2 linked regions of the Caenorhabditis elegans genome follow. The protein of the gene in region 1 purifies or fractionates together with the protein of each later gene. This does not show direct contact. Each region holds a gene or a part of one and is shown on either strand. Other genes may lie near its edges.

What was found. The genes of interacting proteins can lie anywhere in the genome.
Region 2: the proteins of T19B10.2 (region 1) and K08D12.3 fractionate together in Caenorhabditis elegans (co-fractionation; one large-scale study listed by BioGRID). This does not show direct contact.

The regions. Positions count from the first base shown.
Region 1 is NC_003283.11:11,217,667-11,224,799, reverse strand, and holds T19B10.2 (DUF19 domain-containing protein), read right to left. Parts: upstream 3,499-7,133; 5' UTR 3,496-3,498; coding exon 3,460-3,495; intron 3,393-3,459; coding exon 3,262-3,392; intron 3,215-3,261; coding exon 2,888-3,214; intron 2,809-2,887; coding exon 2,529-2,808; intron 2,420-2,528; coding exon 2,087-2,419; 3' UTR 1,975-2,086; downstream 1-1,974. Other genes in the region: bgal-1 (Beta-galactosidase), read left to right, coding at 1-31, 75-274, 317-782, 827-986, 1,129-1,347, 1,399-1,824; cyp-29A2 (Cytochrome P450), read right to left, coding at 4,952-5,292, 5,608-6,298, 6,349-6,656, 6,737-6,803, 6,955-7,059.
Region 2 is NC_003282.8:1,706,471-1,712,895, reverse strand, and holds K08D12.3 (CCHC-type domain-containing protein), read right to left. Parts: upstream 2,632-6,425; 5' UTR 2,630-2,631; coding exon 2,530-2,629; coding exon of another isoform or gene 2,501-2,529; intron 2,331-2,500; coding exon 1,975-2,330; 3' UTR 1,769-1,974; downstream 1-1,768. Other genes in the region: rpi-2 (Protein XRP2), read right to left, coding at 1-184, 1,196-1,307, 1,496-1,617; pbs-1 (Proteasome subunit beta), read left to right, coding at 3,154-3,231, 3,277-3,476, 3,542-3,992; pugs-4 (C6 domain-containing protein), read right to left, coding at 4,362-4,481, 5,277-5,385, 5,442-5,599.

The DNA.
Region 1 (7,133 bases):
ATGTGACAAAGCAAAGAAGTAGTGATCGAGTGTTAGTTAAAATTAAACAAAAATGTTCAATCACATAATTTAAGGTTTACCCGCGAAGTCGAGAATTGGTTTGAAATTCTTCTTCCAAGAGTCAAGCCACTTTTACGTAAAAACGGTGGACCTGTCCTGATGCTTCAAATTGAAAATGAGTACGGTAGTTACGATGCATGCGATCAACAATATCTTCGATTCTTGCGAGATCTTACAAGATCACTCGTTGGGGATGATGTTCTATTATTCACAAGTGAGTAAATGAACACTTTATCTAATTATTCAATTTATTCAGCTGATGGTTCTGCCGAGTCTCTGCTAAAATGTGGAACAGTGGAAGGAGTATTTCCAACTGTAGACTTTGGTCCAACTGATGATGCTAAAGAAATCGAAAACAATTTTAAATTACAAAGAAAATTTGCACCGAATGGCCCTCTAGTAAATTCGGAATATTATCCTGGATGGTTGGTACTTTGGGGACAAAAGAAGCAAAATTTACCGTCTCCACAAACAATAATCAATGGATCACAAACTATGTATTCTCTTGGTGCCAGTTTCAATTATTATATGATTCACGGAGGCACCAATTTTGGATTTTGGAATGGTGCAGAAACTGAGGCTCCTTGCATTACTTCTTACGATTATGATGCTCCGATTAGTGAATCTGGAGATGTAACAACCAAATATTTGGAAATAAGAAAATGGATCAAAGGATTGACTGATTGGCCAACTCCACCATTGGATGTTCCAGGAAATTCACCGTAAGTTTTATAGAAAACGGTTTAAAAATATTTCCAAGTTACAGAAAAGGAAGATTTGGAAAAATCAAGATGAGACTAGTGCATTCCGTTGAAAAATTGAAAACACTAACTTCATTGGGAGATCCCGGAGATTGTGTTGAAACTGATAAACCAATCAGTTTTGAGACATTGAAGCATCCATTAGGATTGGTAGCTTATCAGGCAGTGAGTTTGTTAGAAATTTATTTTTGGGTTTAAATTTTTATTGGCTAAATTTTTTATCGACAAAAAGTGATCAAAGTATAAGCGGTTTTTTTCAAAATGCTTAAAATGCTATAAAGTAGTATCTTTAAATCATAGTTTACAGAAAATTAACTCATGTGGAAACTTGACAATTCCCTCATTTGGAGATTTTGTTCATGTTTATCTCAATGGAAAGTACATTGACACTCTCACGCGAAGATATTACAACCTGACCAGAAACTCAGTGATCATTGAAGGTTGCCTGGAGAATGAAGAGAATCGGCTTTTTATGTTGGTCGAAAATCAAGGAAGAAAAACATTCGAAACAATTAATGATAGAAAGGTAGAGCTGATCATTTTTTTTTGTTTTGCGGATTATATGTCTGAATTTTAGGGAATTCTTTCGGATGTTTTTATGAATGGACAGGCGATTCAATTTTGGACTCAATGTGGAATCAAGCTTCCTCTTCAAGAAGACTTCTACTTCAGAAAAGCAATGAGAAACAATTACCGGAAGAATGTTAAAAGTAATCAAAAACAGGGAGTTTTCATTGGAATTCTTAGTGTGGATGCCCCAACTGATACATGGCTTGACACTACTGGATGGGGAAAAGGAATTGCAATTGTGAATGGAAGAAATTTTGGAAGATATTGGCCAACTAAAGGTCCACAAATGACTTTGTACATTCCAGCAGAATTCTTGAAAATTGGAGAAAATTCAGTGATGATGGTTGAGCTAGAAGGAGCTGAGGAAGCTTGTACAAGTACATCATCGTGCATTGCTGACTTTATTGATCATCCTGTTTTTGATTTTCAATGATTTGGTTAAAACTTCTTGCCATTAATTTCTTTACCATCAAAATATATTCTTCTCAATAATTTCGATGCATCAAAATTTTCACAAATCCTAGCTATATAATATACATCTCGAAATTTTGAAATTTCTCACAGAAATAGTTCATCTTTAAAGAAACTCTTATTATTTATTCAACAATACAAGAGAAACTGATACACGTTCAAAAATTAATAAATAAGTTTTTAAATTAAAAGAAGGTAATACAATTATAATTAATCGAATCAATCTATCCCTGAAGGCAATGACTTCCACCACAGAAGCGTCCACTACGCTGAACCATTGCATCAATAAGATTGTTGACAAAGTCGAATCCTGTCTTGAGTTGAGTGGTAGCAGCTCCAGTTGTATCAGCAATAACTTTACGGCATCCAACATTGAGAAGAGCCTCCATTGCGAGATTCTGTCCAGCTGGCTTGTTACGGATGCATGAGGAAAGAGCAGTATCAATAACATTGACCCAATCGTTGACTGGAGTGATCATTTGTTTCTTGATTTGAGATGTACAAATATCGACCTTGTTGGCAGATCCGATGGCAAGCCCACGTCCTCCGGAGAGAAGCTGAAACAAAATATTTTCTGGTTTTAAATAAGCAACCAAAACGTTTCCATTTGTGCTTAAAATATACTGGGAAATATACAAATTCTCTAGTTCAACTCAATCCTCTTACATCATTGAAGACATTGGCGATGGATCCAATACGCTTCTTCAAATCGTCTCTGGCTTCAGTGATGCATTCGCAAGTGGCCTTGCGTGTGGCTGGAATGGTTTGTCCGCATTGTCCAACAAACTTAGCATCACAATTGGCGAGAACCTTGCAGTGTCCGCTCAAATATCCAACAAATGGACTGGCAAGACAGTTACGGGTAGATGCGGCACGTTGTGGCTTGCGTTCTCCGCAGAAAGAGAGACGAGACTGGATAAGGATATGGTCAGAGATAGAGGAGATGCTGAAGAGATGATTGTTTTAGTGAATTAAAATTGATTTATCAGTGGTTATGATGTTAGCGGATGATATGGAACACTTACACCGAGTCTTTGTATTGGAATGATCCTTCCTCGAGATCTGGAATGTCTGGAACTCCAGCGAAGTTAGCGATTTTCTTTTGGAGGCAATAGTTGGCCTCACGAGCGATAGCCTTTGAAACTTCAGTTCTGATACATTTTTGATCTTCAGCTGGGGTTGCCTTGATAGCCTTGATGGCTCCGGCAGCAAAGGTTCTGCAGATAGAGCATTCTCTCAGTGGTCCGTTCTTGTCCCAAGCGTTATGAGACAAATCGTTAGCAGCCAACACGCAACGATCCTTCTGATTTCCCTCCTCGATGGTGGAAGCAAAGCAAGTCGCGGCAGCTTTTCTTAAGTATCAGATAATATTGAAAGCTTCATATTAGTTGAAACATACTTGGAGTGCTCACGGATTTCGTTTTCATAATTACCGTAGTCAGCGTCGAGCCCTTCCTTGATACACTGCAGGTAAGATCCAAAGGACGCACGGGTGGCTGCAGGTGTGGAGCAGTCCTGAGCCATGGCTACCTGAACTTTAATATTGCAGTGAACAGTTTCCAATCATCAGTTCAATTAGTGCCGACACAAAACTTACCGCAATGGAGGAAATAACAATGGTGAGGACTAGCATCTCCTGAAAAATTGATATTTTGAAAATGTAAGTTAAATTTAAAAAAAAAGAAAATAGAGTAAGAAGAAGAATAAGAGACGCCACAGAATGGAGGGCAAACATTGAAAATGAGACCACCGATAATCGAAAAGAGATCCTTGATTCTCTTATTCAAAATGGGGTTATCGGTTGACGAGATGATGATACCCGTAGATATACATAGATACTGCGACCTGCGACACTGTGAGATACACGAAAACATTAAATCGGATCTGCATGGAAAGAATTGAAAAAGAAATGAAGGCAAGAAGAGGTGAAAATGCACCCTGAACCATCGGCATTTAAAGACTGAGGTGTGTCTGAAAGAACCGGATTCACTCTATTCAGAGGCACTAAAAGCGATGATAGAAGAAGAGTGATTAAGAGTGATATCACATCAAACACACAACAACTGAATAGGTATGACTAATCTTGTTCATGTTCTCAATTTTGTTAAACAACAGAAGCTACAATGTACGATTTTCAATTTGTTTATAGGCTATACAAATTCAAAATCAAATTAATTTCGATTGATATAAACCGAACATTTTGCATTGCAAAAGAAAAAAGCGAATAAACATGGGTGTAACTGACAATGCCAACTAAAAATAAAAGAAATCCAAAACCCAAAGCCACAAACATATAAACCAATCTTATCTGCATGTTTCAAGAATACACAAGAATTGATAAGATTAGACTACACAGTCCATGTGTTGTATATTTTTGGAAGAAGTTTGTTCGACGAACAGTGAGAGAATTCTAATTAATTTTTAAAACAATTTTTTATAAAATACACAAAAATTTGAATTGGAATGTGTCATTTACATTAACTTTATTTTTTTTTTGTGATTAAGGATAATTTCAAACGCTTCTGAAATTTCTAAAGAAAAAAACTCGGAGCCTCTCTTTGAAACAAAAATAATGTTGTATTCAGAAAAAATAGAGTTAAAGATTTTGATTTCAAACTTCCATAGTAGACAGGCATATCTTTATGCCTACCTAGGCGCAGTCTACTTTTTGGTTTTGGTGTGGTGTTAGGTTGATCTTTCCATCACCACCCAGTATAAAACCACTGAAAATTACGTACCAACAACGTTATTTTTCTAAACAAAAAACAACAACGTTATTTTTCTAAATAACTGCATGAACAATAAATGAATTCTATGAACACTGGCAAAAATAAAAACGTGTCTTATCCATTTTATAGTCCGTTGTCTGGTAACAAACGAGCCGGTATTCTCCTCTTTTTCACCGCGCGGACGATTGCGGCCGTCCAGTAAAACGAAACGACAACGGTCATAATTGCTACTTGTTTAAAGGGACACGATAATGATGACAATGATGGAATGGGCAATGATTGTTGAGAGACAAGTAATTGGTTTTTAGGTAAAATCGTTTATTTAAAAATGTGAAAATATACAGGTAACTGAACGATGCTCTAGTTTCTGCGAATTAATCGAACTGGAATCCCATTCGATGGTTTTGTTACCACTTCCAGACATGGTTTTGTGTCATTATATTTCAGAGTTGGTTCAATTTTGAAGTTTCGAACAATATGAGAAATCATTACTTTCTCATTTAGTTGCGCAAACTTTTGGCCAATACAATTACGAGGACCAGCCAAGAAAGGCATAAAATCATACGGATGTCTCTTTGAAACTTCATCCGGAAGAAATCTGTCAGGATTGAATTCTGTTGGATTTTTGAACACGTGATGATTGCTGTGAAGAACCATTGGAGATATTGTCACATTGCCACCAGCGGGAACTATGTATCCATCTGAAAATAATCAAATTAAATCATTTATTCTAACATTTGGTTTTTGATAGTTTATTATTTTCCTTAATTTCAGAGATTTTTTATGCAGAAACTTTTCTGAAATTGGGGAGTACTTGAATGTTGACAATAGTAATTGATAATTTAACTGAAGTGCCGTTAATTCACATTTTCTACTGAACTTACGCGGATTGATGTTCTGTTTTTTTCAGACATATGTAAGTCAGCAGAAAGTTAATATAAAACTGTTTGTAATACTTTAAGATTTTAACAAGATATTTTTGGTTTAAAAACCACATCATTTAGAATTTAACTTACCAATTTCTAAATCATTTGTTAATTTTCTTTGAAGTGCAGGAACTGGTGCGATAATTCGTTTTGATTCCTTGAGAACTATATCCAAATAGTTCAGATTATTCACATTTTCCAGTGTAATATCTGTATTTGGATCATCTCCAAACACCTCAATCATCTCTTTGTACACTTTTTCTTGAACATTCGGATTATGAGCTAAATTCCAACAAGCCCATGAAGTAGAAGATGTTGTTGTATCGTGACCAGCAAACATAAATGTATCAACTTCTTGACGAATATCTTCAGAAGTTAATTGATTCGACTCCTCCATACTCAACATTAAATCCAAAAAGTTCATCATTCTCTTGGATGTCTCCTTTTCAACTTCTCCGGAATCATGAGCAGCTCTTCGTTCTTTGATAACTTTTTCCGTCATACTTTTTAGAGTACTTAAATAATCATCATATTGAGCTTTATACCCAGTTGCCCAAAAAATGAATTGATTCTTCAGGTGAGGATTAAATGAAACTAAAACTCCAATTTTGTTATATCCTTCTACAGCTTGCACATACTTATGATCATGATTTATTTGAGCATCAATTTTAATTCCCATTGCAGTCTCAGAAATGATATCCAAAGCGCAACGCTTGACATACGGGAAGATATCGACAGTTTCTCCAGAAGCAGAGAAATCACTCAAAAGATCAATAAGAATCTGAAAATTAATCACTGAAATGATATATAATTGAATTAATCGTTTCAAACCTTGGATTCATTATTGAAAACTTCAAAGTAACCACCCAACTTGGCAAAATGAAATGCTGGAGTTAACATTTTTCTGTGACTTTTCCATCGTTCACCATATCCCTCTAAAAGTAGTCCGCCACCAAGCCATGGATCAAAAAATCTATAGTCATCTCCTTTATTTGTTTCAGTTGTTGAATCAATAATTGCAGCAGCTGCTTTTCCATTCAATGGCCATGCGTAAACTTTTCCCAGAATCATGACTCTCATAACTGAATGTCCCTGATCTCGTTGTTCGGCCGCCCAGTTAATGAAAACCGATGGCAAATCTTAAAATTGAACATAGCACATTTCATTCAATTTGTTTCATGCCCAAATCTTGTAACTTTCATATCACATACAAACTTACCTTCAGTTTTCTTGCCAACTATTGGTCCAAGATTGCCGAAAATTGGATGTGCGGGAGGACCAGGTAGCTGCAGATTACTGTGTTTTTAGGAAATATTTTTTCTGTTATAATTCGAATGTCAATATAGATAGACTTTTATGAAAATGAAGATCAGTGTTTTCGAGGTATTAAGTTCTTTTAAATGAAATTAAATGATAAAGGAAAAAAAGTGCACTTACTTTACTTCCATATTGCCAATGTCTTTTGTATTTCAAGAGTGTAGGAATCCATGTGGCAAGATATGCCAGAATTATGGCAATAGAAATAGGAATGAATATGGTCATTTTTTGGAAAGCGTATTGTTGTTTCCTTCAAACGACCAATGCAAACGATTTATCAGTTAAAGACAGGTTATATA
Region 2 (6,425 bases), on another chromosome or scaffold:
GAATGCTTATGCGAATGCTCGTGCAATCACGTGTTCTCAACTGCTGACACGAGGTGAAAATTGTGCAATTCGCGCAATCACGCACGAAAACGCTGCCCGCCGCTGGGCCGAGCACGATGGTGCAATGGCGGCAATCGTCGATAATCACTTGAGATGTTTGGTAGAGGTACAGGATTGTTGAGTCCTGGAATTGAAGGGTTTTTTTTTCTGCATTCACGTGGTCCCAGGCTGTCCCATTACTCTTGATCTACTTGATCTACAAAAAATGCGGGAATTTTTTTCCCAAAAAAATTGGGACGTCAACACGCTCTTAACCATGCGCGAAATCAGATGAGATGTCTGCGTCTCACCTCGCGCATTTTTCGAAGATCAAACCGAAATGGGACTTTCTGACTACACGTGTGCATTAAAAAATGTCTCTAAAAAAATTCCAAAAAAAAATGCTTTACAATGTTGAAAAGGTCCCGAAAGTTTGCGGACTTTCAGATAAATTGCATTTTTATAATGAAAATTTTGCGAAAACATGTTTCTAAAAAATATTGTTAAGAAATTTTGAAAAAAATCAGCGGATATTTAAATTTTCAAAGAAAGTTTTTCAAATTTATTACCCAGACGTTAAAATTTGCGATTTTTGCGCCGAAAATACGGTATTCGGTCTCCACACGGTAATTTTCGGTTAAATACAAACGGGTGTCCGCCTTTAAAGAGTACTGTATTTTAAAAATTTTGTTGCTGCGGAATTTTTATCGATTTTCCATAATCTATTAAAAATTTAGAGTTTTTTTTTAATATTTTAGTTTTTAAAAAGTAAATAAACATATTTTTATATGATAGAAAAACGATGAAAAATTAATAAGAACCCCGGAATAACAAAAGTTTGAAATTACAGTATGTATGCAGTACTCTTTAAAGGCACACACGTTTTTGTGTTTTAAAAAAATTGCCGTGTCGAGAACGGGTACCGTATTTTCACATCAAAAATCGGAAAATTTAGTATACGGGAGATTGATAAAATCTTATTGAAAATTAAATGTTTTAAAAAATGCGGAAGGGAATTTCAAATTCCGCTCTTTTCTTTAACGATATTTTTATTTTTCGGAAATTGCTGAGACTCCTTTTCCACTTTAAATTATTGTATCAGTTTATAAAAGAAATTATCGGGTCTCGCCACGATACGTGCGCCTTTAAACCGTACCGTGCAATTCTCCATTTGAAGTGGTCCACCATCTTTCGACTCCTTTTTCAGAGTCGTGTTATGGATATTCGCAATTGTAAAGTCTTCGGCATTAACTTTTTCTCGACGATCCCTTAAAAATTAATTTTTCGGGTCCCGCAGCGATGCGCCTTTAATCTTTTTTTGAATTCCAGACCTAAATATCTAAAGAAACGAAACCTAGAAACCTCAGAGAGGCGCTATCAAAATGATTGCAACAGGTCTTGCAGCGAAATCGAATTTTTTTAAAAAATTCACTGCGAGACCACAAATTCCACTTACCACGAATACTTTGGAGGTTCACCTCCCTCTTCCGGTTTCGGCACCGCATCCTCGCTGACCTTGTAGCGATCCTCACGTTTAGACCGGCGCCCAAAAAGCTTTTTCGAAAAACAACAGCTCATTGTTCGAGGCTCCCGCAGAATATGCGAAAGTGAGTGAATGAGCAGCGCGAGTTGCTCGGCGAGAGCGCGCGTTGCTATGGAAACCCATGTGAGAGCATCACGTCGCCTTCACTTCCGATGCGAAAGAGGAGGAGCGCAAGACGACGACTTTAATCAACAATTTATTACCACTTTCGTTCAAGAGGTTCAGAGGTTGGGATGGGGGATAATAGCTGCAACCAGCATTCACATATAATATTTGAGATGCGGGGAAGAGGATTATTGGAAAAAGGAGTGAACGAAAGTTTCAGTTGAATACATTATTTCGAGTTACAGAACAATGAAAAGACAACGAAAATGGGGGGAATGATGATTGATTTAGTTGGTCTGGCTTGGGCAGTCGCGGGAGATGTGTCCGGTCTCCTGGCACTGGTAGCAACGCTTCTCCTCGGCCGAGCCACTCTCGGTGCACTCGCGGGAAATGTGCCCGGAGCGTCCGCAATTGTAGCACTTTTGTCCGCCGAAGCTTCTGCCTTCTCCACCGCGGCCTCCGTAGCCACCGCTTCCTCCCTCAGATCTGGCGGATGGGCAGTCACGAGAGTAGTGTCCACGTCCTCCGCAGTTGTAGCACGATCCACCGCCGCCGCCACCTCCACGTTGTCCTCCTCCGGATCCTCCCTTGGGGCAATCGCGAGAGAAGTGTCCAGTCTCTTGGCAGTTGTAGCAGGTGGATCCTGAAATAACATGAAATTAGTCTCGAGATTTCCGCTGTAAATTTATCATCAAATAACTCCTAATCTCCGCCAGCTTAAACACATTTCTCTTCGCCTCCACTTCTCCAGAACTTCAAAAATTATTGCAATTCGGTAAGAAATCAAGAGATAATGTATTTACCTAAATCAACTCAACACCCCAAATTCAACACCACTCCACCTCCTCCACCTCCTCTACGTCCACCATCGGACTCGCCATTCGGGCAGTTGCGGGAGATATGTCCCGGCTGTTGGCACTTGTAGCAATTTCTGTCCGACATTACTGCAAATAATTGATTTTAGAAAAAAGAAATTATCAGTTGCGAGGAATTACAAAAAAATAAACGGTTGAATGTCACAATTTCAATCAAAAATGGCGAAAATTCAGAGAAACAAAAATCCAAGACAGTGAGGGCGAGAAATCATGGATATTCAGTGACTAACATGACAAAAACTAATAAATACATGGAAAACTAGTTATAAAAACCAGTTTTAACGGGAAAAAAGTCGGCGAAATCAGAAAAAATCAAAGAAAATGTGGCCAGAACGTGTCGATCGTCCCAAAATCGAATGTTGGCCGCGTGCCAGGAAAGTTAGATGTGCAGGCAGTCCGGTGGAGCGCCAATTCAAACGTCATTTTTGCTGCATTGAGATTTGATGACAATGTTTTTTCTGCTCGGGTTTCTCGTTTTTAATGATTTTATTCTGAAAAATAACTACTAAATTTGTTTTTATACATTATTATTGATTTCTTAACGTTAAAATAACTTTTAAAAAATGAATTTAAGTCGATATTTTGCAGATAATGGATACTATGCGAGATGAGAAGCGCAAAGCCATTCCGGCAATCGGGTTCTATCCACAGGAAGAAATCAGCACTGGAGTGAGATTTTTAAATTGAAATTTCCACTAAAAGCTCAATTTTCAGACCACTCTCATCGCTATGGAGTACAACGGTGGAGTTGTCGTCGGAACCGACTCGAGAACCAGCGCCGGCTCGTTCATCACCTCCCGTGCCACCAACAAAATCACCCCGATCACCGATAATATGGTTGTGTGCCGTTCTGGATCTGCAGCGGACACTCAAGCGATCGCCGATATTGCCAAGTACCATATTGATGTTTATACGTAAGGAATTTTCAGTTGTTTTAAAATTAAATAAAATAATTTTTTTAAATAATCACTTTTTTCAGCATGACAGAGAACAAGCCAGTGACAATCTACCGCTCGAGCCAGATTTTCCGCCAATTCCTCTACAACTACCGCGAGCAGCTCTCCGCCTCAGTGCTCGTCGCCGGCTGGGATGAGGAGCTCGGCGGCCAGGTCTACGCAATCCCAATCGGAGGATTCGTGTCCCGCCAGCGATCGACAGCTTCCGGCTCCGGTTCCACATTCGTGCAGGGCTTCCTCGACAGTCAATGGAGACCAAACTTGACGCTCGAGGAGTGCAAGGCGATCGTGAAGCAAGCCGTCGGACTCGCCACCTTCCGTGACGGATCCTCCGGCGGAGTTGTCCGTCTCGCCGTGATCAACAAAGCCGGCTCACAGTTCGAGCTGTTCCGTCCCGACAAACCAGGATTCCCATTCGTGCAGACACCAACTCCACATCTCTCTTTCCCACCGCACATCGAACAAGTCCTCTAAAATCGTTTCGTTTTTCGATCTTCTATTGTATTTTCCCCTGTGCGACTATACTGCTAAGTTATTTGATTTCCCTCAATATTTATGAAAATTCACACTTGTCATCATTTTCGTTTCAATGCTGCTGCTGCTACCGCTGCTATGTCAAAAGTGCAGTAATTGGTTAGCCAAGCTACGCAATTGACCGGTATTCTCCTCCGGGAAACTGGTCACGTGGAACGTCAAGCGATTTATTAGAGTTAATTTAACAGAAAGAGTTCATAAATTGCGAAAATATACACGTGGCAGGTTATGGAAAGACGAAAATATTGCAATGGGCGAGTATCTCTAGGGAGGAGAATATTCAAAAAAAAAATTGGGGGAAATTAGAAATTAAAATCTGCAATCGACGAACTGCAAAATTCTGCCAAGGATCGTCCACGTGTACTGGGAGCCGCCAACGTTTGTGCAAGTGGCGAGCAGAGACGGAGCCGCTGAGATTGAAGCTCTTTGCTGAAAAATTAAGAAAAATAAAAATAATTGTTCCTTGTGGTTTCTTAGTTTTCACAGCTGAAAAGATACGGAAAGTCTGCGGATTTTCAGCGAAAATTGTAATTTTTTCTAAAATTCTAAAAAAATCCCCGAAATTTCGAAAATCAGAGGAAATTTAAGAAAAAAAAAATCGATTTTGGAGCCAAAAATGCGTTACCCGGTCTTGACACGATTATTTTCCGTTAAATACAAACGGGTGTGCGCCTTTAAAGGGTACTGTAGTTTCAAATTTTTGTTTCTGCGCGATTTTCATCGATTTTTCATAGTTTTTCGTACTTTTTACTTTACATTTGTAATTTTTTAAAAATGAAATACTATTTTGAATCGAAAAATAACAAAAAATCGTTGAAAATTCCGCTGCACCAAAAGTATGAATCTACAGTACTCTTTAAAGGCGCACACCTTTTTGCATTTAAGGAACATGTGTCGCGTCGAGACCAAATTACCAAGAAATTCGATTAAAAATCCGATTTTTCGCTGATAATTTGAAAAATTTTCTGGATTTTTTAAAGCAGAAAATTGCATTAAAATTTTTGGTTAAATTTCTCAATCTTTTCTATGAAATAAAAAAAATGCACAAAATTCAAGAACATTAAATTTTTATCTGAATTTCGCAAGTCTTCCCGGAATTTGGGCCTGGAAAAATTATATTTTCAGGACAAAAAAACTAAATAATTCATATTCTTGACCACTATACGAATTATTTTTTGCTCTTTTTGTCTTCCGAAACTCCAATGGCAACGGAACTGGACTCACCTGGTCGTATCCTTCAACTGTGGCCGCTTGGCCGCCCGTCGTACACGTTATCGCCACAGTTGCTCCCTGAGCATGAGTGTTGCCGAATGAAACATCACTATAGTCGAATCTAAAGCTTCAGCACTTAGAAGAAAAATCAATAAAAATCAATAATATTGATGATACCTGTATTGATCGGTTTGATCAACGGCCGAAACGGGATAGAGTATGAGGTCGGAGCACCGGGCTCCGACTTGCGACGGGTCATTCGACTGTACGAATCCCGGCGGAGCACACGAGAGAACCATACCGGCGGTCAGGAAAAAGAGCAACACGTGCGTCATTCTGGAAGGACGAAAAATCAATAATTGATTGAAATTTTAAAAGAACGAGATTTTTTAGAAATTTGCAATTTAGCCAAAAATCGCAAGAAAAATTGGAGAAAAAGTGGATTTTCCACTTTCCAGCATTTTTTCTGAAAAAAAATCAGAAATTTCAAAATATTGGCTAATATTTTACACTGAGAGCAGAAAGCTCAAAAATTAGGTGGAACAGCCAAGTGACCTAGAAAAACACAGAGTATTCCCACTTTTTTAAACAACAAAAAACTCGGCCACGAAGCAAGCTCGAAAAAATAGCTTTTAAGTTGGTGGCCTAGAAATACCGAAAATTCGGCCAATCATCTGAAACATTTATTTTTCTTTAAAAAAAGTTTTTTATTTGGTGGCCGAGAAAAGGAAACGCTCGGCCACGTTGAAAAATGTGCAATTGTCTTCTGAAAAATCGATTTTAGGTTTGGTGGCCGAGAAAATACAAAAACTCGGCCACGTTACGAAAATTTTGTTTTTCTCTTTGAAAAAGTAGTAAACTCTGCCACACTTCAAAAAGAGTTTTGTTATCGAAGATTACGCTTTTTGCTTGGTGGCCGAGAAAATGCAAAAACTCGGCCACATAGAAAACGCTCCGTAAAAAACGATGACACGTGGCAAATTGATTAAACAAAAAACCAAAAAAATTATTTTTGAAAAAAGAGACAGTCTAAACAGCTCGAATTAAGGTAACAACAAAAATGAGTCAAATCCGGAGAGGGGTCCAGCCCGTCCCGGAATCCGGTTTCATAATTGAGGTAGGTAGGCAACTTCTCGGTTGGATGCGTCGTCTCCTCACTTA